Linked DNA regions of Oreochromis niloticus. The protein of the gene in region 1 interacts with the protein of each later gene in a pairwise test. Links are inferred from orthologs where the notes say so. Each region holds a gene or a part of one and is shown on either strand. Other genes may lie near its edges. The genes, in order: rxraa and nr0b2a.

Evidence for each region.
Region 2: the proteins of rxraa (region 1) and nr0b2a interact in a two-hybrid assay, tested with the Homo sapiens proteins (2 studies listed by BioGRID and IntAct). The link is inferred for Oreochromis niloticus from reciprocal best matches to the Homo sapiens genes RXRA and NR0B2.

What each region holds. Positions count from the first base shown.
Region 1 is NC_031972.2:29,162,445-29,175,481, forward strand, and holds the start of rxraa (retinoic acid receptor RXR-alpha-A), read left to right. Parts: upstream 1-6,843; 5' UTR 6,844-7,144; coding exon 7,145-7,379; intron 7,380-13,037. UniProt on the Homo sapiens protein: Receptor for retinoic acid that acts as a transcription factor.
Region 2 is NC_031976.2:7,490,145-7,502,353, forward strand, and holds nr0b2a (nuclear receptor subfamily 0 group B member 2), read left to right. Parts: upstream 1-7,292; 5' UTR 7,293-7,376; coding exon 7,377-7,911; intron 7,912-8,031; coding exon 8,032-8,273; 3' UTR 8,274-8,618; downstream 8,619-12,209. Other genes in the region: kdf1a (keratinocyte differentiation factor 1), read right to left, coding at 12,024-12,109. UniProt on the Homo sapiens protein: Transcriptional regulator that acts as a negative regulator of receptor-dependent signaling pathways. Specifically inhibits transactivation of the nuclear receptor with which it interacts.

The DNA.
Region 1 (13,037 bases):
GATCCTTACAGTAGATGTCTTCTATAGAAACATGGCACACCCACTCGTTTTGACAACAAGGTAACAGTACTACAAGTGGAGTGCATAATGACTTGTTTTATAGCACATAAGTATATTAAAAGCACTAATTAATGCTTTGCAATTCCTCTCTAATGCTTTGCACTAGGTAGGGATTTTCTGTGTGTGTCTCTCTCTCTGAGGTTATGCCTTCAGCTCCCTTGTTCCTCCTTGAGCTTTAGTGGAATTTGGCTGATGTGCGCCAAGGGGAGGAGAGGAAGGAGGCGCTCATCTTGTTTCAGTGCTTTATGAGTCTGACGTGTTCGTCTGTAATTGCAGTTATGGGTGATTAAACTCTCAATGCCCCTCAGGATCCACAGCCAGCTATCAATCAGCGTCGGGCCGAGCTGCACAGCACTCAGATTGGTTCCTCTGTCTGTCTGTCAGATATCCTGCTTCATGCCGCTCTGTAACATAGCCATATAGCGGAGCTGCAGTTTGCTGTTTTCAAAATAGGCAAACACATGTTGCATTTCGAGTTTAATCAAGTGATTGTCAGAAAAGGGGAATGAACTGCACTTTTTCTATGAGGTGTCATCCTCCCTTGTTTATATTTTTCTGTTTAACAAAGCTGAGGCTTAACAAGCCTTAAGATAAGTCGATTTGTGAATTCTTGACTTTACAGGTCACTTGCCAAGCAAAAGAGCCACTTAATGGTTTAAATTTTTAACATTTTCTGATGTATTTTTTGTAGTTACATAAATACATAATATGCCATGTGCATATTGAATAAATTGAGTGATTAATTACTGTTTTCACTCTTTTTTAATATCCTCCTCGTCTATGTGTTTTAGATACTTGCTGAAGCATATATGCGAGGCAAATCATCTTTTATAATTTAACTCTAAAAGCTGATGTGTGTGGGTGGGTGGGTGTACATGGGGCTTTTGAAATTAATAATCTGTTGATGGCTTCATGGTATCTTTTATGTTTATGTATTCATACCCGTGCTGTCATGCATGGCAAATCATTGCAGTGTGTTTGCATGTCTGGTAACATATTTATGACTTAAAAAAATTGGTGGGTAGATCAGCGGGGGTGGAACTGAGGCCTGCTACTTGCTCGTCTAATTGGTGAGTGTTTGCATCTGTGTGTGTTTATGAAAAATGTGCGACTTATCTACAGAGGCAATATACAACCGCGAGAGTCTTGTCCTCCTCACTATCCTCCTCTGACACTCCAATGGCAAGAGGACAGCATTTTCTCAGCTGAGAGAAGATGGCAGCCAGGCATCTGAACATTTCCTATCGCAAGGATTTGAGTCCAAGCAAAACACTTCAGCATGTGTGTGGTAATGAGGAGTGTGCCTGTTTGTGTAAGTTATCTGCAGTGGCCTCCTCCCATTAGTTTGCTGACTTGGTTGAGCCCTTGTCTTCTGTTGAAGGTTGTGTGTTTTCTTTTCTTTGCCTCCTCCTCTGTGTTGTACTTCTGAATGCAACAAGGATAAAGAAAAGAGTAATTCACACCCTCGTTGCCCTAAGGATCCTTGTTAGATATGGCAGAGTGACCTCACAGTGGAGGATGCAGTGCCAAGAGGGCAGGAAAAATAATTTTTGTCAAAGCAAAGGCAGAAATATGAAGAAAAGAAAATAGACTGAAGTGAAGAAATGACTCCTCTTGCACCACATCTGAAGCCTTCGCCTAGACTGGACTATCTGTCTGGGTCAGTTCAGGCCAGCCTCGGTCTGTAGTGTAAAGGGCGAAGTCTGTAGAAATTACAGGCTGATTAATGTGTGAAAGCCCACATGGACACTAAACAGTATGAATACACTAAGACCTCATACACAGTGCCATTTTATTTTTTGCATACTTGTCACACTAACATGTTTTAGATAATCAAACAAATTTTAGTATTAAACAATGATGACCTGAGTAAATACAAAATGAGATTTTAAAGGATGATTTCCTTTATTAAAGGAATAAAGCTCCAAACTTACTTAGGGCCCAAGCCCTACCTTGAAAAGCAATTGCCGCTATTGTTAAATCAAAGCTAACCACATTTGTTTCTTGGAAAGCTGAGTTCAATTTCACTAGTCACAGACGTGTTGAAATCACGTACATAGAACCTGTCCGATAAAGTGAAGTAGGCTAAAAGATCGCAAAAAGCAACCCATCATGCCACGAGCTAAAGAAATCCAAAAACGGGTAAGAAACAAAGTCATTGACATTTATCAGTCTGGATAGGTTTATAACACCATTTCTGGGACTCCAGCGAACTACAGCGAGAGCCGTTATCTACAAATGGAGAAAACTTGGAACAGTGGTGAACCTTCCTATGAGTGGCCAGCCTACCAAAGAATGTCTCAATGGTCACGAAAGAACCCAGAACAACATCTAAAAAAGTGAAGGCTTCACTTGCCTAAGTTAAAGTCAGAATTCATGATTTAACAATTAGAGATTTGGCAAAAATGACAAAAACAAAACACTGCTGGATTCTGATAATTCTTGAAATCAAAAAGAGGTAAAAAAAAAATGCAAATATGAATCTCATATTTGCTAAAAAAAAAAAAAAACATTGGTGGTTCCCATCAAGATGGAAAAATATTCTATTGACGACGAGACAAAACTCAAAGATTTTATTCCTGTTACGTCTGGTGTAAAGCTAACACAGCATTTAAAATTAAAAGCGCATCGTACCAACAGTCAAACATGTACCTGAATGATTTGCTGCAACACACCAGCAAGTATACCTCTGAATCACTAAAAAAAACCCAACCCAAAACCAAATGAAGGTTTGAGAGTGGTGCTAGAAAACCCTCCAATATGGTTGAATTAAAACAATTCTACAAAGAGTGGGATGAAATTCCTCCACAGCAATGTGAAAGACTAATTGTCTGTTATCCCAAATGCTTGATTGCAGTTCTTGCTGCCAAGGCAGGCACATCCAGTTATTAGGTTTAGGGGGGCAATTGCTTTCTCATTTACAGAAAGGTTGGTCCTGCGACTGACTAATGACTCCAAGGTGTACCCCACTGTTTGCATGGATTAAAAAAGAAGGAAAAAAATTAGGAAGTGACAAATACTTTTCACAGTACTACAGACTTGGTGTATAAGTGAGTATTTAAATTTTGTTTAATAAAAATAAGAAAAAATTGTAAGTGATAGGGTTGAGTGGTATGTTAAAAGTTTCCAGTCAGCCAATGTTGGTCCATCCCAGTGTATTTGCCAACAGCTAATGTATTTATCCTCTTAACCCTAGTATGCTCTATCAGTTTACTTTTGCTTTTCAGTGGGCAAAGAAAAAAAAAAGGCCTTTAAGTTGGTGGAAAAACCCGAGCTGAAGCCTCTTTTGAAAGTTTTGCTGGGCAGCATGTGTTTGTTGGCAGACTGCCAGTGAAAATGCAAGAGAGGGGAAGTCAGCAGACTGGCTGTCTTCTGTTCACTGTTGTTCAGATTGACTCTGTCAGGCTGGCCTTTGAGGCCTGTAATCCAGGTGGTCTGTTCTTTGCGGCGCCCTCTTCCCTCCTCATCCTCCCTCTCTCCCTTCACCTCCGCTGCCCCGTGCCCACAAACACGCCTGGCATCAGCGGCTTCCTCTCTGAGCAGTGGTGTCTTCCTTCCACCAATCACATGGCTCTGCAGTTATGGGCACATTGGTGTAAGCCAATGAACGACACCTGTTTCTCTCAAGAGTGCTTCTACATGCCAGTCATAACACCCACTTTATTTGGCCTCTGTCACAAAGCCAATCTCAACACGTAATTCACGGGCATCCAGGCCATGAGAGGCACAGGCAAGAAGAAATATGGATTTTAGCGATGGGGAAAGGACCTTCTCGAAAATTACTTTCCCAGCACAAATGTCACAGAAAATCTGTGTTGCATCATTGCATCATCGGAAAAAAGTATCATGCAGTAAAGGAACCTTTTGATAGGACTGAGGGATCATTGTTCGGTGGTAAGAGTGGAAGAATTACTCATTTTCTGCCTGAAAGCCTGAAAACTTTTCCCATGTTTCTGTGTACACCTGAGACTAGTCGAAGGGATCACATGTTTTAGCTTTTCCAACATGTATATGTTTTATTTTATTACAAAGATTTTCCTTTTTCAAGCCTGGTTAAAAAACATATAGCAACTGTCACTTAAGAACTGCTGCAGTGTTGTCAGTCGATGCCATTCAGATTTCTTTGCACTGGCCAAATGCAAACAAATTCCTGAAAGCTTTGAAAAAGTCTTTGTGCTTCACCAAATAGCTTGTTATAAGGGTTTATTGTCTGTCGTTTTAATTTTTTCTTAAGGTCAAGATTATGTATCAGATGTCTGCTTTTACACAGTAACTTTTTTTTTCTTTTCATTAAAGTAAAATGACAGCAACCTGTGAATTTATGTGGTAAGTTTAATCTGGCTCTTCAGCCTTCGGTTTATAATACTGTACTAAAACCTCACCTTAATAATACAAGTATTAAAGAAAACATATAAATTGTATTTCTTTACCAAAATGGAGAAAAAAAACATTTGCATTAAAAAAACAATACTTTTTTTGCTTAAACTGTTGGTTAAATATCTGACCCTATTGTAACCTACTCAATCTGACAAGACTTAATTTAAACTGGTTGCTTGATGGAGGTCATGGTTCACTAATGTTATGTTTATACGTTAAACATAACATTAGTCTATTGTTCTTCCCATGATTCTATTTTTTTCTTAATCTATATTCTGTTTTATTTGGTATGTCTTCTGCTTTGACTGTGTTATTGTACAGTACTTTGGTCAACAACTGTTGTTTTTAAAAGTGCTATATAAATGAATAAACTTGAAACTTAAAACTGAAATATTAAGCAGGGCTGTGAATCTCTTGGAAATAAAGAAGCACTTGCAATTGTATACAAGCATTATTGGAGGTTTTGCTTTACCTTAACTCCCCTTAAATTTGGCTGGTCTTTGGCTTTTCCATCAACATTACACATTGTTTGGGGTGTTGGGCTGCATATTTTTTTTACATTGTTCCTTGAAAGCCACAATCTTCTGGACTTTCCAAGAATGATGTATAGGAAGGCAGAGAAATAACAACCTTTGTGTGATTAGTGGTTTTGTTGCTCTATTGGGGACTTTTTTGTTTAACATGAACTTTTTAGAGTCCATTGTAACCTGGACTAAAATAAATATTCAATGGTGATTTTTTTATCTTGTGATTTTGATTTGAAAAGAATTCGGCTAGAGTATGGTATACCAATTGAAAATATGCAAGAATATATTTTGGGGGCAGTTGTGGATGACAAATAAATCTTCAGTGACCAAGGGCAGCTACCCGCCTTGAGTTGCTGAAGTTGATAACAGTAAATAATAGTCCTAGTTGCATGAACACAGCTTTTAGAGTCATTTCTATTACATTCTTGTAAAATGACCTTGACTGGGCGCTTTAGAAAACATGCAGAGCATACATAAGTGCATAGAATCAGTCAGTGGCAGATTCCTCTCCAACACCTCAAGAGGCAACCGACTCCATTGTGTTTTTGTTTTGCTGATTCTGTGTAAACACAGGCTAGTAGTGGTAACCGCATCCCTGGCAAAAGAAATGGGTTTTATAATGAAAGAACATGTTCAAAAGCACAAACATTAAGAAATAGAGAGAGAGAGCGGGAGACAGCAAGGCTTGGAAGCTGATCGAGGTATCAGTAGAGAGGAAAAAGAACTGGCAGCACTCTAACCAGTGTGTCTTCCCAGGACATAAAAGACTTGCTGCTCCGAACTGGGATTATCCTCCACCTCTGGGGAGTCCCTGTGATGAGCAGCAAAGGCAGAATAAAAGATGTGGAAAGAAATTGAAGGAAACAGTAACAGAGGAGAGGAAGTATGGGGAAAAATTAAATGTGAAAGCATGTGCACTGGGGAGGGGTAAGACACATGCATCTATAGACTCTGATCCACATATATGCCAGCTCCACTTACGGACCTGCAAATACTCAAGATGCTTCAGTTGACCATGTTTGTGCTTTCTTCTTTTTTTTCTCTTTTTTTTTTCTGCAACCTCTCCTGACCCCATGAAAAATGGCCCATGCTGGTAATTCAGCCATGAGCCATGTCCCTGTTTGATCTAGCGTCTTCCTGAAAATCATCTCTCCAGGCTCAGACATTTTAAATCAAATGTGATCCTTCCTTTCTAGCAGAAAATACTTGTTGGAGATGCAGATTGCAAAGGTCTACACTGCAAAAACACAGATCTTAATGATACCTGAAGAGAAATCATTTTGTGGGTAATGGGTTTAATGCATTCTTTCTTTGCACGTAGTCCACCTCTCCAACATGACATTGAAATTCAGCATATTAGTCTTTGCAAAATCTTGCTAATAGGCTGACAAAAACATAGCATATGGCCATGACAGCAGCTTGGCTTTCACCTTGATTTAAGAACAATTGTCTCTTTCATGAAATTTCCAAAGTTGTCGCTTGTATTCTTCTGGAGCAAATTTGCTACACAGGGCAGTGTTTAGATTTTCACTTGCTTAAAGAAAATATGAGTTTTAGAACCAGCAGTGTCACTAAGCAGCTCTTTTGGGACTTGGCAGCTGAATTAATTGTTGGTTTGAAATAAAGCATTCAGGGGAGAAACGTTACGCTGTTGACACAAGCTGTTTGAGTTGTCCATCTGACTTATTTTGTTAATAATGGGCCAAAAGGTAATTGATTTTGTGTGTACTGGACAGACTGTCTGTGTGCAATAGAGCAAGAGAAGGGGGCGGATGGAGGCGTGGGGGTGGTAAGGTTGGGCCTCAGTCAATGCAACTATATTTTCATGATTTTGCTTGTTTGTCTTGGATACAGCGTGCCTCCGATCCTCTGGCCTGCAGAATTTTGTGTTTGTTTTCGGTGAGTCAATGCACTGATCCAAAGTACACTCCTCCAGTGACAGAACTGACAGAACACACATGCGTGTTCTTCAGGACATACAACCTCTGGTCTTATTGGAGCGCGTGTGTTCCCACCCAGTTTGCGAGGCCTCTTCCTGCAGCACGTACACACATAGTTTCCCATCACCCTCCGAGCGGCCCCCAGTGTTTTAAGCTTTCTCTGAGAGACTTTCTCGCACTTTGTTTTCCTCCCCCATTTGAATCTCTGCTATCTATTTATGAATCTCTAGCGCTCATTCTATGTGTTCATCCATCGATCAGTCCATCTCTACCCATCATTCCCGTTCCCTTCATCTCTGGCTTGTTTCCCAGAGGAAGAAGGAGAAGGAGTGGGGGGTGGGAGTAGGGCAGTTCCAGCTTACGGCCAGCAGCCAGCTCCTTCTCCATTTGGATTTCATTACAAACAGACCAGCACCTCACAGCTTACAACAAAAGAATAATAATTATAAGGGCAAAAATGAGAAGAAGAAAAAAGGTGGGTGGAAGACATCTAAAAGGCTTGTAATACAGTCAGTATATTTAATCTTTCCGCTGGGGCGGGAAATAAAGCTTTGGTGTTGATTCTGTGTCTCAGAACTAAATGTGAACCATATACTTTTGTATTTTTGTATTTAGATTTGTGTAAGAGGACAATTACCATTTTTATAGGCTGAATACTGACTCGGCAAATGAATGCAGGGAGGGTGGACATAAGGCTCTGTATGGGTCAACATCTGCCTTGGGCTAATTCCAGGTGTTGCAGAGAGTAAACAGCCACATAAACAGAGCCTAGACACACAGTGTTCAGCTTTTGAAGTGTTTCAGTGGTTCCTTGACACAAATGGAAGTCGTCAATCGCCCACTGTCTCCAAACACGTTAGGAAGTGACAAATTCCTCATCCTGATGTCACCAAAGGGTAGGGACAGTTTGTTTTTGCCATCGTGGTAATTGGTATAATTAGTCATCAGTCACTGATGGCTTTATGACTCCAACGTCAATACAAGACACACCTTGTGGAACAATTTCACTTCCACTCCTCCACATATAATGCTGTATTTTTTTTAATCTTGTGCATTTACATTTATTTTCCCTGCTAATGGTGTTTGTATTGACATTTTAAAGACTGCTCTTTATTATTTACTTAGTTGTGATGACTTTTTTCTGACTTTTATTGCAGAAATTGCAGAAAAAGATCAGTTAAAGTTTCTGGATTCGTTTTTGACTAGCCTGAAGGTGAAATACAGAAATCCATTCAGCTGTTTAGTTGGTTTAATTATATGACTTTATTATTTGTAGTGTGGCTCGCAGTGTTCTTAAAAAGAAATACTGGCCACACAGACCTCAGATAACTTTAGTTTGTGTAGTTGCACGGCATCATTGAGCAACCATTTATTATTTTTAATGTTGACACTGGTGCTTTTAGGCCCCTCTTATAGTCTATGCGCAAAAATAAACCACTTTGTTCTCTAATATTTTTCTGAGTCTAAATATATATATATATATATATGTATGTACTTCATGCAAAATTTTCAAGGTTTGTTTTAGTGTTTTTCTTTCTTTGTCGTTCCACAAACCATTTTCATTTTATTTCATAAGCGTAACCTTGCAGAAACGTGACCCTTGTTTGAAATAATGAATGATGAATCATTATGCCCAGCTAGATATGAAAGTAAAAAAAATTGATCTGATTCTTTGTACCTGGTCTTGCTAAATTGCATTCAGTCATGTGCTTTGCTGTCAGCTCATTATCTCTCTGTGTTTGTGTTTGTAAGTATATACTCGGTCGTGCGCCTTCAAGTGTGTTTTGGCAGTGAGCAAGTCCGATAAGGGCCTGTGTTGTGATATTCATCTCTGGGCTCAACAAAAGAGGAAGTTCAATGAATCAGAAGCTTCCTGGCTGTGTTGTATTTCCCCAGTTACATGTATTCATAGCAGTCTTGGGCATGAAACCTTAAATGTCCTTAAAAGGTTTAAATACTTTTTTTTTTTTTTTTGCTTTGCAAATCTTAATCATAGAGATTTATAATATAATAAAGCAGGTGGTAAAGGTAATGTTTTCTCATCATCTTTTGTCTGCGAACTTCAAGAATCGCCTCCAAAACCTCCACATTATCTGATTAGGGTCATTCAAAAAGCCTGTCAGTCTTTACTGTCTTGAATATTACTGACCTCTTTTGACTTACTAAGCTGCTGTGGTAATGAATACTCAAACAGAGCCGAAGAACATCAGTTGCAGTGTAATCTTCTTCACCCGACAGCTGCTCTGCAGGCTGCAGAAGTAATTATCGCTCAATGCCATGTCTTTGATCAACCACTATTGTCAGTTGCCGTCTATGACATAAGCCGCTGACCAAAGCACAGCAAGTGAGATATAGTCACTATGCTGGCTGTCATTCATTTGTTGAGTACATTTCCTTCACAGTAGCTGTGTTGCCTTCATTCTTTGTGCCCTTGGCCTTTTTACTCCTTCTCTTGGTGTACTAGTTTTCTCCTCACAGTGAGAAATGTGTGTAAATGAATTTGGTGTGTAAATAAAGCTACCTGCTATAGGTAGTACTTCCAGTGTGTTTGCCTTTCTTCAAGTAAAGCAAATCACTGAGCATGACTGAATTTACAGTGCAGTTGACAAACAGCCACCAAGTAATTCCATACTTAAATAAAGCAATATGGGAAGGATAAGCCTGGTGATTAGTAGGTTAAAGAAAACACTTTCCAACTTTCCAAGTGCGCTCAGTCACCAGGGTGAGTGGCATTCACATGAGGCTCTAAGCATGGAGCAAGGTTTCTAAAGTGTGTCTTTACCCAGTGAAAAATATGTTAAACTAAATTTGATGCTCACATTTCCTTTTGTAATTTCTCAGGTTGTTCAACCAGTTGCATTTGGCTTTGCTTCACACTCTTCAGAAATGCCTTGTTTAAAGGTTAGACCAGAAAGTTACAGTAGTGTGTGAAATGATCTGTACATAAGAATTTGGCCCAACCTCAGTCAACTGCACCTCTGTGCACGAGCTGGTTGGTGCGCTGCGTGGAGCTCCCAGGGAGAGATGGTATATCACCTCAGAGCTAAAGACAACAATTAGGCCATAACAGCAGATCATAGTGTTGGCAGCCGGGGCACTGTTAGCAATAGTGCCAGTAATCTGTGGCTTAGCTGGCACCTAGCCACATCCAGCCACAGCTTCATGGCCTCTGCAGACACTTAAGAGTCACTGAGGGCACCAGCATGCCCTAGGAGCTGGCTCTTTTATCTACATGCTATCAGGGAAATGAACTGAAATGGGAGGAAAATAAAGCCTGTGAGAGACAGAAAGGAGTAAAAGGGAGGTGGGAGGGAGAGAATTAAGTCTTTAATGAGGGCAGTTGTTTCAGCAGGCAAAAAGAAGCGGGTTATATCAACACAGTGTATCAAATGATGGCTGTTAGCAGCCCACCTACTGTGAAATTATGGGTGGCCTGTTTTGGTTCTTTTCTGCCACTTATCCCACATTAAGGCCTTTATCTGTTGCTCCTACACTCTCTTGTTTAATCTACAAGTTGGTTCATGAATCCCAGCAGATGCGGGCTTAAACAGACAGTATAAAGAGAGTCTGGATACTTTTGATTAGCACTGTCATAAAGATCGAGGTATAGTTGCAGCTGGCCTGTCTGATCATATCTTGTCTTGTTAAAGTTCCCTGATCACCATGTGGCTCCTTGCACTGTCCTCAATCCTCACATACTGTATTGAGGATTGAGGACTTAACTAATAAAAACTGAGATGACAAAAACGTGTAAACATGGTATTTTGTTTTATCTTGTAGCATAGTGTTAATTGTGCAAGGACCATAATGAGCACAAAGACCACAGGAAACAAAGGACTAAGAACAAAAACCCATTTAATGAGCCTATAATGCACCTTTCTAAATTCATAGTCAGCAGAGATGCTGATAACATTCTTTTGTGTGCAACCACTCGTTTCTAAAAGTAAGACAGCGTTAAAGAAGTAACAAGCAGGCGTGTGTGAGAAATACCATCCAAACTATTTTAAGTTATAAATGCTTTAAAAGCTTTCCACTAAGATTTACAAGAAGTACAGAATATATAAATTCTGTGATTATTTATTGACTAATTTATTGCATCAATCCCACTCACTGAGTTATCAAAATCCTCAGTGTGCAACTGGAAAACACAAGGTCAAGTACCTGTAGAAGTTCACATCAACAGAAGAAAGAGGGTTTATTTCAGGGTAAAATAGTTGGTATTTGAAAATAAGTAATATTTTTAAAAAATCTGCTTCACTTAGCTACAATATAATGACTAACTATTTGTTAGGCAGTTTCACCAGTGCAGTTTTATATATATGGTGCCAAATAATAACAACATTTGCCTGAAGGAGCTTTATATTGTAAGGTGAAGACATTAGAATAATAGAGAGAAAACAGGAACAATCGAAAGGTCCCCTTTGAGCAAGCACTTGGTGACAGTGGGAAGGAAAAACTTCCTTTTAACAGGAAGAAACCTCCGGCAGAACCAGGCTCAGGGAGGGGTAGCAATGTTCTGCAACTGGTTGGAGGTGAAGGGAGGAAGACAGAACAAAAGACACACTGTGAAAGAGAGTTGGAGATTAATAATAACTAATGATTGGTGGAGCTTATCCTAACTGCCCTACGGTGAGAGGCGGGCACACCAAGTCACCAGCCTGTTGTGGGGCTACGGAGAGACAGACAACCATTCACATTCACATTGTTGGGCAGTTTAGAATCACTAATTAATCTAACTCCACATCTTTGGACTGTCGGAGGAAGCTGGAGTATGCCGTTTTAAACCGAGGACCTTCTTGTTGTGAGGCAACAGTGTTAACCACCACGCCACAGTGCTGTATGAACAGCTAGTGCTTTTATTTATAGCTTAAATTACTTGCTTACTTGCATTTTTTATTAGATAAGAGAATTCCTCGCTTATCCATATTTTTTGCATCATTGCAAATAGAAGTTTTCAGATTTTTACTGCTCCAGAGCCAGAACAGGTTGTTTACTAGTGGAAAATGCAACTGGGAATTTTTTCTGTCCAAATTTCAGACGTTTTATAAACATAATAAGTTTGTAAAACAAAACCTTTTTTTAGAAGTGTGCGCCGATTCTATGCATAACCTGTTGATATTTCATCAGCCAATCACAAGCTCGCTCCCTACACCATCTTTTACACACAATAAACACACACACACACACACACACACACACACACACAGCCCCACTTCCTCTCTCCTATCTACAGAGTAAACATATCAGACTCAGATATTTACACTTTGGACATAACTGAAGGCACCAGATTAGTCTGTTTATGTAGTGGAAAACAGTAGACAGACATTTCCCAATTAATGAGCACACATGCGCACACACAGAAAGTGTGAAGCTTAATGAAAAAAAAGAACAATGAATAATGATCTAGTTTTTGAAGCACATACACAAAGTGGTTTATGGAAGATTGAGAAAAATATCAGCCCGCTGTCGTCATGGCGATAGAGACATCAGCAGTAAAAACTCTAAAAATGAAGCCGTAATACCAACTCCCATGTTATTTTGGGCTTTGTTTTTTGTTTTTTTTCCCACAGCCCACTGAATCTCCTGGGTTATTTAGTTGAATCTCTTTTTCCCTCTTCTCTCTTCTTCCTGAACACATCCGGAGAAATGCTAATGACTAGTGTTTCATTCCGGCTGCGCTCTGTGCCGCTCTGTGCTTTTCAAAAGTGACTCACCTAGATGATGTCCTAAAACGTTGTTCCGAAGAATTTAAAAAAAGAAAGAAAAAGGGAAAAAAAATACTGCTTGGTGCCTCAAATCAACAGAAGGTGTTGGGTGGAGGGATGCATTAAAAACAGGGCCCGTGTTATTGTTGACATGCCACGCTTTCATCCAGTTTTTTCTTTGAAGATGCAGTTTACTAAAGTGCTGCAGTGTAGGTGCAAGTGACTCATGACTGCTTCGTTTATTGCAAAGTCGGTCTGTGAAATGATCGTTTTTTTCCTGGCCAGTCTCTCACCTATGCCATCATTCCCCAACTCAGCCATAGCCAATCACGGTTAGTATAGAAAGTACGTCGTCTGTGCAAAGGATCTACATCAAGTCCATTTGGATATTTTTTTTGTTGGTTTTTGCATTTTTTTCTGCACTGAAA
Region 2 (12,209 bases), on another chromosome or scaffold:
GTGGAGTAAAGGAAGGAGTACAGAAACCGTTAGCTCAACTTTGAATGTCAGTATTTAAACATTTATTTATTTAGTGTACAATGTAGATACAGTGGAAATTCACATGTACCAGCTTGTGTGTGTCTGTCAGCCACAGTTTTCAGGACCCCAACACCTGACTACAGACAGACAGAAAATAATAAAAAGCATTTTTCATTATCAGCTTGAATTCAAAGTCTAAAACAGGAACTAACAGAAATCCAAATAAACATATTAAAGAAAGAAAAGCAGTAATATAATAATAAAACTAATGCAGGGACCCAACATACAATCAGCACAAAAATCCAGACCATAGCCAAAGAATCATCAGTCTTTTTTATATTTTCACTGGGAAATCCCCCCTGACATCCACACAACCAGTAATGCTCAAAATATATAATCAGATTGCTTAAAATCACATCTTGGGTCTTAACGGTTGAATTTTTTGTTTAAAGTCTGTATATAAATGTGCTGTGTAATTTGTGGAAAACAAAATGATGCAAGATCTTTATGATCGCAAATCATAAATATAAAATTATAGAAAATAGAGCCCAACTGATACTGATACCGATATTTGGCGTAAGGACAAAATTCATTTTTCTTTAATGTATTTTTAAAATCTGATATTCCAGTGTATTGGCTTTTTTTTCTCTCAGACACACACAACATATACAGATTTCCCTTTTCCAAATTTGTTATATGATATTTTATATTTTGTTGTTTACCGTCCGTCGATTCTGCACAGGTCAGCTGGTTGCTGTGTTTGTGGATCCCAAACAGGTAAATTATGAACACAGAATTACATTCAGATGCCTTCAAATGCTGCTAAAATTAACACTCTTTACATGGTTGATCGGTCTTTCTCCAGTTTTTCCTTTAGTTTTAAAATGTTCTTTTATCTGCTATTATACATGCCGATACCGATAGCTCAGTAAATAGTCAACTGGATTAATAAAACTGCTTAAGCGTTGTCCTAATGTTTTCATACAGTATATATTATAAAAGGTCACATCAAAGTGGCATCGATGTACTTTGATAGACAACAGGTTTAATCATGTCTCACTTGGCTGCACAGGTATATTTCTTTTCACACTGACTATAAGTCGCCAATTCTGCCTCTTTAACAATGGTCACAGTAAAACCTTCTTCATTTCATTAGAAATACACCAAGATGTGTTCAAAACTGTTTAACTTAACTTGACTAGTAAAAGGATAAAAGAGAAAGCGGCAGCTGGGAAATATATCTAGTCAGAGTTCATTAACCCAAAGGTAACCCTTGCTTTGTCCTTCACCTCAGCTTTTATTGTTGTATTTTTATAGTAATGGGCAGTAAAACTAGACTCGGGTGTCTGGACTCTGACATTATGTCACACATCATATTACACACACACCATGCATTAGTCATCACCCTCCTGATTAGTGGAAGTTCAAACAAATTCTTGAGAATGTGCATGTGTGAACGTGTGTGATGTAAAAAAATAAAAATTAAACCGCAGTAGATGTGGTTAATATGTGATTAGATCATAAAACAGCCACCTAACTCAAGAAATGAACCTGTGTTGTGTGTACACATAGCAGGCAGCTAAGCAAAGAACCAATTTTAAGTGGCAACAAACACATCATTAGTTCCCACTTGTTTAGTCAAAACTATGAAAAATACCAAAGATAACACAATTTGAAAGACATAAAATAGTATTTGTGCACCAACAAGGTCGTTCAAAACTTGGCAAATCTCAGCATGGTGTGCAGTGTGTCATTAAAATTTCAGCCAGTGGTGTTGGGGATCTTTTCGCAATTGGTGAAATTATGAACGTGTATAGTCAGATTTTGAACCACCATTCAATAACACGTGAAAAGCATCTGATTAGCAGAAGCTTCATTTTTCAGCATGACAATGATCTCAATCACACTGTCAATGCAATAAAAGCTTTGGCACATATACATATATATCCTGCTGCAGCCTTTTAAATATTAATGAAACAAAATGTTTCAGTATATGTATTAAGGCATACACAGGAAAAGAAATCACTTTCTAAATGCATGAACAGATTCTAACATGAAGCAGGTATAAATCAAAGAATTTGCTGGATGTCTATTATATACAGTCCCGATCAAAAGTTTAAGACCACTTGAAAAATGGCAAAAAACCATATTTTGCATGGTTGGATCTTAACAAGGTTCCAAGTAGAGCTTCAACATGCAACAAGAAGAAATGGGAGTGAGACAAAACATTTTTTGAGCATGCAATTTATTGAAAACAAGGCTTAAACTGAAACAGGCTGTTTCATAGCTGATCAAAAGTTTGGGACCACATGCCTTTAAAAGGCCAAATCTGTGCAAAAATGTGGATTTATTGACATTTTCTGTCAGGTAGTCACACTGTCATGATGTTCTGATGGCAAAGGCAAAAAAACTTTCTCTTTTTGAACGTGGTCGGGTTGTTGAGCTGCATAAGCAGGGTCTCTCGCAGCACGCCATCACTGCTGAGGTGGGATGCAGTAAGACAGTCATTTGGAATTTCTTAAATGATCCTGAGGGTTATGGAACAAAAAAGTCAAGTGGAAGACCCATAATTTCATCGAGCACTGAGCCGGAGGATCCAATTGGCTGTCAGGACATTGGACGATCCTAAACCCAAATTAAGGTGGCTACTGGTGCCGACTGCAGCCCCATAACCATCAGACGGAATCTGAGACTGAAGGGCTTCAAAGACAAAAAACGTCTTCAAAGGCCTCGTCTCCTTGAACACCACAGAACTGACCGTTCAGACAAGAGAGCACCAAACACGGGACATGGAAAGGTGGAAGAAAGTTTTATTCTCTGATGAGAATAAATTTAACCTTGGTGGTCCCGATGGTTTCCAACGTTACTGGCGTGACAAGCAGATCCCACCTGAGATTCTTTCTACACGTCATGTGGAGGGGGCACCATAATGGTCTGGGATCCTTTTTCTTCAGTATAACGATGGAGCTTCAGGAGGTGCAGGGGTGTCAAACGGCCGCTGGCTATGTCCAGATGTTGCAGAGAGCATCCCTCATGACTGAGGGCCTTCGTCTGTGTGGTAACGACTGAGCGTTTCAACAGGACAACACTACAGTACACAATGCCCACGGGACAAGGGACGTCTTCCAGGAGAATAACATCACTCTTTTGGACCATCCTGCGTGTTCCCCTGATCTAATTCCAAATGAGAACCTTTGGGGATGGATGACAAGGGAAGTTTACAAAAATGGACAACAGTTCCAGACAGTAGATGCCCTTCATGTGGCCGTCTCCACTACTTGGAGAAATGTTCCCACTCACCTAATGAAAACGCTTGCATCAAGCACGCTGCAACAAATTTCTGAAGTGATCAACAATAACAGTGGAGCTACTCATTACTGAGTCCATGTTTGGAACTTTGATTTCTGTTATGGGTTTTGTGGAAGTGTGGTCCTAAACATTTGATCAGCTGTAAAACAGCCTGTTTCAGTTTAAGCATTGTTTTCAATAAATTGCATGCTCAAAAAAATATTTTGTCTCACTGCTATTTCTTCTTGTTGCATGGTGAAGCTCGACTTGGAACCTTGTTAAGTTTACAACCATGTAAAATGTGATTTTTTTGCTCACTGGGGCACATTCTTGAACAGTCACTGCCGAAAAACTCGGCATCATTTGAAAAGAGGATGTTTATTTTAAAGTTTATTCTTAAAATTAAAGAGCTCAAAAAGGGGAATGATAGACCATTTACTACTTCATTTAATAATTCTTTCATTTAAATGTCTTTTTTTTGGTTGTTCTTTTATTTCACTGCAATTGAGGTTCTATGTGTATATAAATGCAATTTCAATCTGAGTTTTAATTTAGTGATTCTGTTTTTTTTCTTCTCCTGAGTACATGTTCCCATGAGGCCACCCTGTGTGAATCATCTTTGGGTTGATGACCTTATTAAAATGGAACCAGGCAAATGAACCTCCGCTGTATTAGCAGTGGGTCAAGGCCAAAAGTCATGTTCAACACATGACGTCCATCATGCACCCACGTGGTAGCACGGAGCGTTCAGTGGCCTGAAAAAACTGGAAGCAGTGGAAGTTCAGGCACTCAGTCTGTGAAGATGAGTCTGAGCTACTTGTTGACACATATCCCACAAATCCAATAATGCAATTACAGTAAAGTCACCTAATAAATTCTTTTAAGGTGCATGAATTTTGAAGATATTAGGAAAACAGTCTCCAGCTCCTGTCTATTACATCATACTTCATCACCATCTTGCTTCCCTTTACTCCGAACACAGTGGTTGTTCTACTTATAGTATGAAGGACGTTTTCGTTTTACTGTCCTGGCAGAGATAAGCGTCTGTCCTCCGTGCCCGTCTGTGCCTGCTCCAAACCTCTATAAACACGGGCCTTATCACAAGCATTTACAACTGTCAGCATGCTTGATGAAGCCTGAGGGCTGCTGAGTGAAGTATAGGTCACTTTCCTGAAGGGAAGATAACCCATGCGTCTTATCATGTTTTGAAGCTGCGGTCCACTTCGATTAGGCTTCTGTGAGTACAGACATCGTGTCCCATATGATTGATATGATACTGTCCATCATAATGAGATCACCCTGTGAAAAAAAAAACAGGGCTGTTAAACATTTTTCATGTATTCTTTCAAGGAATGAGTAAAGGCATTGATAACGTAAAACAAATATTCGGTGACTGGTGCTGCCAGTTGTGTCTGGTGTGTAATCTCTTTATTACGGTCATTCACTTTATGAACTGACCTTGACACAGGTACCCTGCAGTTCAGATCTTCCTCTTAAACTTCCAGTTTCAAGCTTCTGGGCTTGTCAGGCTTTTTGGCAAATGTGTCACTAAATAACAATAAATAACGAGGATGGTACATCATATATGGTGGCACCCGGGATCACTGACTATCATAAATGTTTTACTGTCTATAGTTCATGGCACTGGATGTTCAAACCAGAGGTCTTCCACATTGGGTTGTTTGTTTATTTCTTATGATAATAAAATCATTTTCTTATCAGCCCCAAACCTCGGTGCCAGGTACGGGGAAGATAACAAAATAGGATAAATGCATTTAAATGACAAGTGGAAAAGTGTACGACATGTTACGGACGTCATGAACTCCACGTACAGGATTTTGTTGTGCTCCTTTCAAGTTTCATAAACTTGAAAAGAAAATTCATAAAAGTTAGTTTGATATATAAAGAGATATAAGAATGTCACAGACTGAAGTAAGATCAACCTCATGAGTACAATAATTTGCCATGGCCAGTACAAATGTTTACTAGATATTTTTTTCGCAGTACAGTAGTACAGCACGTATCAGGGCAATCGCCGTAAAGTCTGCACACACAGCCAGGGCTGGAAATTCCCTTCACAGTACACAGGAGTTCGACCCAGACTGATCTGGATTTCTTTTATATTGACTTGAGAACATTTTTTAAATATTTGTGTGTGTATTTGTGAAGATATAAGACACACAATTTCCAATTTTATCCCATCTCACAATGATAAAGAACACTTCTAAAAATTCCTGGTTCCAGATTTGCCCTAAAAATGAATAACTTCCAAGGTCAATTTTAAGTAAATCCCTACATACATCTGAAAAAACGAAACACTTAAGCTTCAGATAATAAACCAAAACCCCCAAATTCGTAAAACTCACAAAAGCAAAACCAATAATAAATAATAAATAACAGTTTTATGCAGGTGGTTTTGTGTTTAATTGTAAAAAATATTTTTTGAGGGGTGGTGGGAGAAAAAAAATGTGTGTAGCAGTTGTGTCAATAGAGCAGTTTCTCACACATTAGTTTTTTGTTTTTTTATTGAGTGGACGGGTCAGAGCTGGAGGGCTGCAGGTACGGTGCAGTCTACTTCTTGGGTGCAGACTGAAATATCTCAGCGGTCATTTTGTACAGATGCTGTGGATTCTCCAGCTAATAGATAAACGGCCACACACCCAGTCCAGTCGCCTCAGAATCATCATAATCACCTGACCCTGCTTTAATAGTAAGTCCCCGTGTTACACAAAGCTTGACCTGTGATCCACTAACCAGTTATCTCTGCCTGTTCCCAAACTGCAGATTAATCTTTACAGGAGGGAGGGATTCTCGAGACTGCCAGCGATCTGGACTTTTAGTGGTGTCGGTGTTTTCATTGGAACATCCGTTACAAATACAAAACATGAAATACAATAAATACCACTGGGCAGCTGCGGATTCACCAGTCTGGGTGTCAAAGTACTCCTGGGTGGTATGCTGAATCCTGAGTCCCCCCTGATGTATCCATCAGAGTGTGAGCGTGTGTTTTAGGCACAGATAAAAGTGCTGTGTGGATGTGTGAGACTGTAGAAAGCAGTTTGAATTTGATTTCAACTGATCTATGCAAGTAACAGTCCATTTACCAGTGTGTGATAGTGCTGAAACGCTATTTCTGTACCATAAATAGAACCATATTCAAGGCTGTCCTGTGGTACACAAGAAGGTTTTCTAGCTCTTCTTCACAGGTTTGTGCAGAATTTGTGTTTTAACTGCATGCTTGTAGTCTTTACATTGCAATGTGGCAGTGAAAATAAATGTCTGCTTTCTCAAATATGTGTCCAACCTTTCAACCCTTGTGAGCTGGAGGAGGCTGAATTACAGTTCTCTTATATAAAGCTTCCTCTGGTTAAAATCACAATATAAATAGTAATAACTCAGCTTGTTTAAAAGTCAAGATTCCTTGCCAAATAATTCAGTTTTATTTATATAGTGCCAGATCGCAGCAACAGTTGCCTCAAGGCGCTTTATATTGTCAGGTAAAGACAATAACATCAAGGTGGCTGTTTACAACCAGTTTCCACTAAATTAGAGTTTTAAAATTCCAGCTCTGTTCTGGGATTTTACTCTTTTATTTGGGAAAAAAAAAAACATGAAACACTTTATTTGAAGTTATCTCGCAGGTCAGTGACCCAAGTCTACTTTGGCCTGTTTCCAGTATTACAGGTGTGAGCTGGCAGCAAGCAGGGGCTCACTGTGGGGCTGATTACTTTTTGCAGTCCTTGGTAGCTTGGTACTGCCTGGGTTAATGACACCGGTTACAAGATAAGACCCAGCCCTCTTGATAGCCAGACGTTACTTCAGCAGCTCCTTTTCATTGAGAAAAGCTTATCAGTTTCCCAGGGTTGTTCCAGTCACCTGGCAGAGCACACAGTTGTTTTTCATATGGAGCATATTGACAAGTCAAGGTCCACTGAAGCAGGTTGGGCTGGCCTTATAAATAGAGGGAGACTCCAAGCAGCAGCAGCAGCTGTGCTCACAAGCTCGTGAAGAGCCCATCCTGCCAGAGGATTCATTTAACTGCCTACACAATCTGTGACTCGGTTAAAATGGACAGCGCGTGTCGTTGTTCAACCAGCAGTGATAGGACTTCAAATCCTATCCTGTACAACATCCTGAGCCAAATGGATGGCAGCAGACTGAGCCAAGGCAACTTCAGCTACAATTCAGTGCCTCACAGATGCAAATGTGAGGCACGACGGACAGTGTGCTTGAAAAGGCCGTCGGAGATTTGCAAAGAAGCTTCGGCGGTTCTGGTAAAAACCCTAAATTTCATGAAAAACTTGCCCGCCTTTAACCAGCTGCCTCCAAACGACCAGTTCGCCCTTCTGAAAAGCTGCTGGGCGCCACTCTTCATTCTGGGTCTGGCCCAAGAGCGTGTGGACTTCGAGGTGACGGACATCCCCACTGACAGCATGCTGAAAAAGATCCTCCTGAACAGACCCGAGAGCCCCGAGGTGGAAAGGGAGCAGCCCACTATGGCCGGTGTCAGCAAACTCGTGTCTTGCCTCAAAAAGTTTTGGAGTTTGGATTTGAGCCCCAAGGAGTACGCATACCTCAAAGGGACCACGATATTTAATCCAGGTACATATTCGATGTGTTCAGCTTCAGCTTTCTCTGGTCAGTGTTCGGTGGTTTAATAACGGTGTCCAATATTAAGCATTCATGTAACTTTACAGTTTTGTTTTGTTTTTCCACCAACAGACGTACCAGATTTGAAGGCAGCCCTGTTTGTGGAAGGCTTGCAACAGGAAGCTCAGCAGGCCTTAAGCAAGGTGGTTCAGCTCCTCCACCCGGGGGACGGGGACCGCTTTGCTCGAATCCTCCTCACAGCCTCCATGCTGCAGAGCATCACCCCCAGCCTCATCACTGAACTCTTCTTCCGGCCTGTGATAGGACAGGCGAACCTGCTGGAGCTGCTGGTCGACATGCTCTTCTGCAGATAGGAGCGGTGGATTTTAGAGCTTTTCCGTCTTTGTGAAATGAAGGAATGCCTGATGGTGGGCTGCTCTAAAACACATTTACTATTAAAAAAAAAACTCAAAGAAAACAAAAACTGTGAATTGTTGAAGATGGGGTTATGAATTGCTTACACTGAAAATGATGCCGAGGTCACTGTAGCCCAGTCTGACACGATTTCGTCCAATTGAACTGGATTTGACTTTCTACATTAGGACAGAGTGTACCTACTGTCCATATGTTTGCTTGATCTCATGACGGGAGCTCTCTGTTGTAAATAATTATTGTTTGCATTTACAAAGGTTTTCAAATAAATCTATTTTTTTTACACGAATGAAGAGTGAAATTGTGTGTCAGTCACCTGAAAAGGGAAGCCAAATCAAACATTGAGTTTGTTATATATGTACCAGCTGGAACATCTGATAGTGACAGTCTGGTTTGAACATTTGACCCCTGCACTTCATTGGCAGGCCCATCAGTGATATGTGCAGGACAGCATGTACACATTAAATTCTTGTTGTTGCCAGAGCTCTTAAAAAGCAAATACCTTGAAAATGGGAGTAAAAGGATGATTTTGGTGGTCTTTAAACAAACATTGGAATGAAGTAGAAAACTTTTTTTTATGGTAGTATTTCTTCTTTGATCCAGGAAGTAGCGAGCCTAGCATTTCAACCAGATGCCTCCTCAAGAAAAATGCTTGTCAAGTCATTTTTACCTAAACAACCTCTGCATTAAAATGTCAGGAAATGTTTTACATGTTACATTTAACATGATTGCTTTTTGATTTAAAATAATTTAACAGCTAGAAGACTTTATTGAAAATAGGTTTAGATAACTGTATTACAGAAAAACAAATAGTATCTGAACACATTAAAATGATAGGAATACAAAAGAACTTTGCACTGCTTTAACAAATAAAGACCTTAATGAAGCCAAAAAACAGAAGAAGAAAAAAAGCGTTTACAGAGAATATCTCAGTTCTCTGTGTGAAAATGTCCCGTTGATAGCAAAGGTCAGAGGAGAATGACCAGACTGGTTCGATCTGATAGGAAGGCAACAGCAAGTCAAATAATCAGTTATTACAGCCAAGCTGTGCAGAAGAGCTTTTCTGATAGCAAAATATGCCAAACCTTGAAGCTGATGGGCTACAAGCAGCAGAAGCAGAAGACCACACTGAGTGCCACTTCTGTCCGCTAAGAACAGGAAAATAAAGCTACACCAAAGCTGGACAATAGAAGATTAGAAAAATGTTGTCTGGTTTGATGGGTCTTATTTTTTGCTCCAATAATCAGATAGTAGGGTCAGAATTTGGCATAAACAACATGCAAACAAAATTCGGCTTTGAGCTGAGGCTGGTGGTGGAGTGATGGTGTGGGGGATACTCTCCTGGCACACATTAGTACCCGCTGAGCATTGTTTAAAAACCACAGCTTAACCGAGTATTGTCGCTGACCGCATCCATCCCTTTTTGACCACAGTGTACCCATCTTCTGTCGGCTGCTTCCAGCAGGTTAACGCACCATGTGACAAAGCTCACGTCATCTCAAACAGTTTTCTTTAACATGAAAATGAGTTCACAGCAGTCAAATCCCCTCCACAGCCACCAGATCTCAATCATATAGTGCAAATTTGAGATGTGGTGGAATGGGAGGTTTCCATCATGAATGTGCAGCTGACAAATCTGCAGCAACTATGTGATGTTATCATGTCAGTGTGGACCAAAATCACTGAGGTTAGATTCCTGCATCAATCTTTGGAGAGCATGAAAATGATTCTACTGGTGGGAGGAAATTAAAAAGGGAGCTTTTAGGGGATATAACACTATTACAAAAGCAGAGTTATTTATTTATTAATTATAGAATAGGTGGTGGAAATGACAGCTTAGAAAAACATAAACACATTCTTTTTAATCGGTTGTTGGATTTATCAGGGGCCATAATTATATCCATGTTATTATTAGTTATGTATCTTGACCTGAGGATGGAGACACTATGTTTAAATGTAGCAGCACAGTTTTATAGGCAGTCTACGTAATGTGCTTTCTTTTTTCTCTAATGGTTCTCTGTCCCCCTCTCATGGAAAACAGTGGAAGTCACACATTTTCCCAACAGAGAGAACCATAAAAATTAAGCCTAAACTTTATTGCATTTGCAAATCCTTATCGGTGCAAAAGCCTCACTCGGAGTGATTTTAAATGTTCAGCACCTGAAAGCAGCCAAGGAAAAACTTAAAAGGCTAAATCAGCTGTGACGGGAAACTCTTGACTGGTTCTTGGAAATCTGCAGGCTGCATCACTTATGGAACAAGCTCACGATTGGTCTTGTCCTGTGGTATGTTAGTTGTGAAACTGTGAGCCTTTAAATGACACCTACATACAGGTAAAACAGGAATGTGCTGGTGGGGGAGTGAGCCAGGGGAAATGGGGTTACACAGGCCAAATGCAACACACACAGAAACAACTTCCCTAAAAGAAAAAAAAAGCTGTGTGTGTGGAGCTGAAGAACAGATAGTTAAGAAGTGTCATTGTCTTCATGCAAGCATTTACTGGGTTTTGAATAAAAACAAAATTGTTTCAGTAACTTTTTTTTGTGCGTTTTCTTGGTGCAATTTTGGCTACCGGTTTAACCCCCCCACCCCTCGTTTTAAAGCAGTAAGTCACAGCTGGACTGTACGGGCTCCGAAAATAAACAAAAAATAATTATTATTGACAAATGCAGCTTCATTTGTTTAACCCAGATTTGAACCGCTTCAAGAAAATTAGGCTGACTTTCTGTGCTGCTCCTTTGCCTTTGCCATAAATGACAAAGACAAAGCCGTGGATTTTATTTCCTTTCTGTAAGAACCAGCCAAACGAGTTCCTTCTTTTGCTGAGGGCGGAAAAAGCCTGCCTGCTGTAACACAGTGACCTCGGGGAGATGAGCCTGACAACAATAATCCCAGAGATAAAGAGGAAAAAAAATAGGCTGAAGAGAGAGTGCCAGAGAAGCTCGTGAAGGTAAAGACTTGTTGATATACACGAGCAAAATCATTTGCTGTCAAACAAATTGAGCTTTTTTATATACAGAGAGAGAAAAAGATTTCCAGGCACAGATTTAGACTTTTGAATAAACAGAAGCATAAAGAGGTATGGAAGGATTTTTTTTTTTATTATTTTCTTAAAAATATGACTTGGTAGCTAACAATATAAAAAAAAATGTGGACAAACACCACATATGGTTTAAAAAAACCACAAAGTAACATCGACATAAGGGTATTTACAAAATATGGCTAATACAGATTTCAGGTAAAAAACACGCGTCTTAGGGTTCTGGGGAACTGGCAGGAGGTCGACAAGCTCATACACACAGACGGCACATGCACAACAGCTAGCAAAAAAAATTAAGATAAAAACAAGAACGAGGACGGCTCTGTTCAAACGTCTGCCTCTTTCCTATGGCATCCTGTTGAGTGGAGTCACTTTTTCCATCTTTAAACACTGCACAGAAAAATACATAAAAACCTACATCTCCTAACGTGTGTGTGTGCGTGTGTGTGTGTGAAGGGGAAATAGGGGGGAAAGTCTCCTCAGTGGGCCTTTTGCTTGAAACATAAAGATGCTTGAAAACAGCAGGTAGTAGCTGGACCACTTAAAGGCAGAAGTACAACCACCCAGCGTAAAAGGTGCTCAACTTGGTAACAGCAGGAGGATGAAACAGCCCGTGTAACTGGCTACATCTCTTTTTGTTTTTATTTGACTTTTAGAGAATCAGAGGAGCACCTGAGGAGTAGGTTTCAGTGTCGTGGTGGTACGCCGAGTAGGCCGTAGTAGTGCTGGAGGAATATGCTGCAAAGGACAAAAAAGAAAAAAAGGAAGGATTATTTAATGCAGTGAGGTTAAAAAGCATAGCTCTAATTTCATTTATCCTTAAGCGAAAAAACCTGGA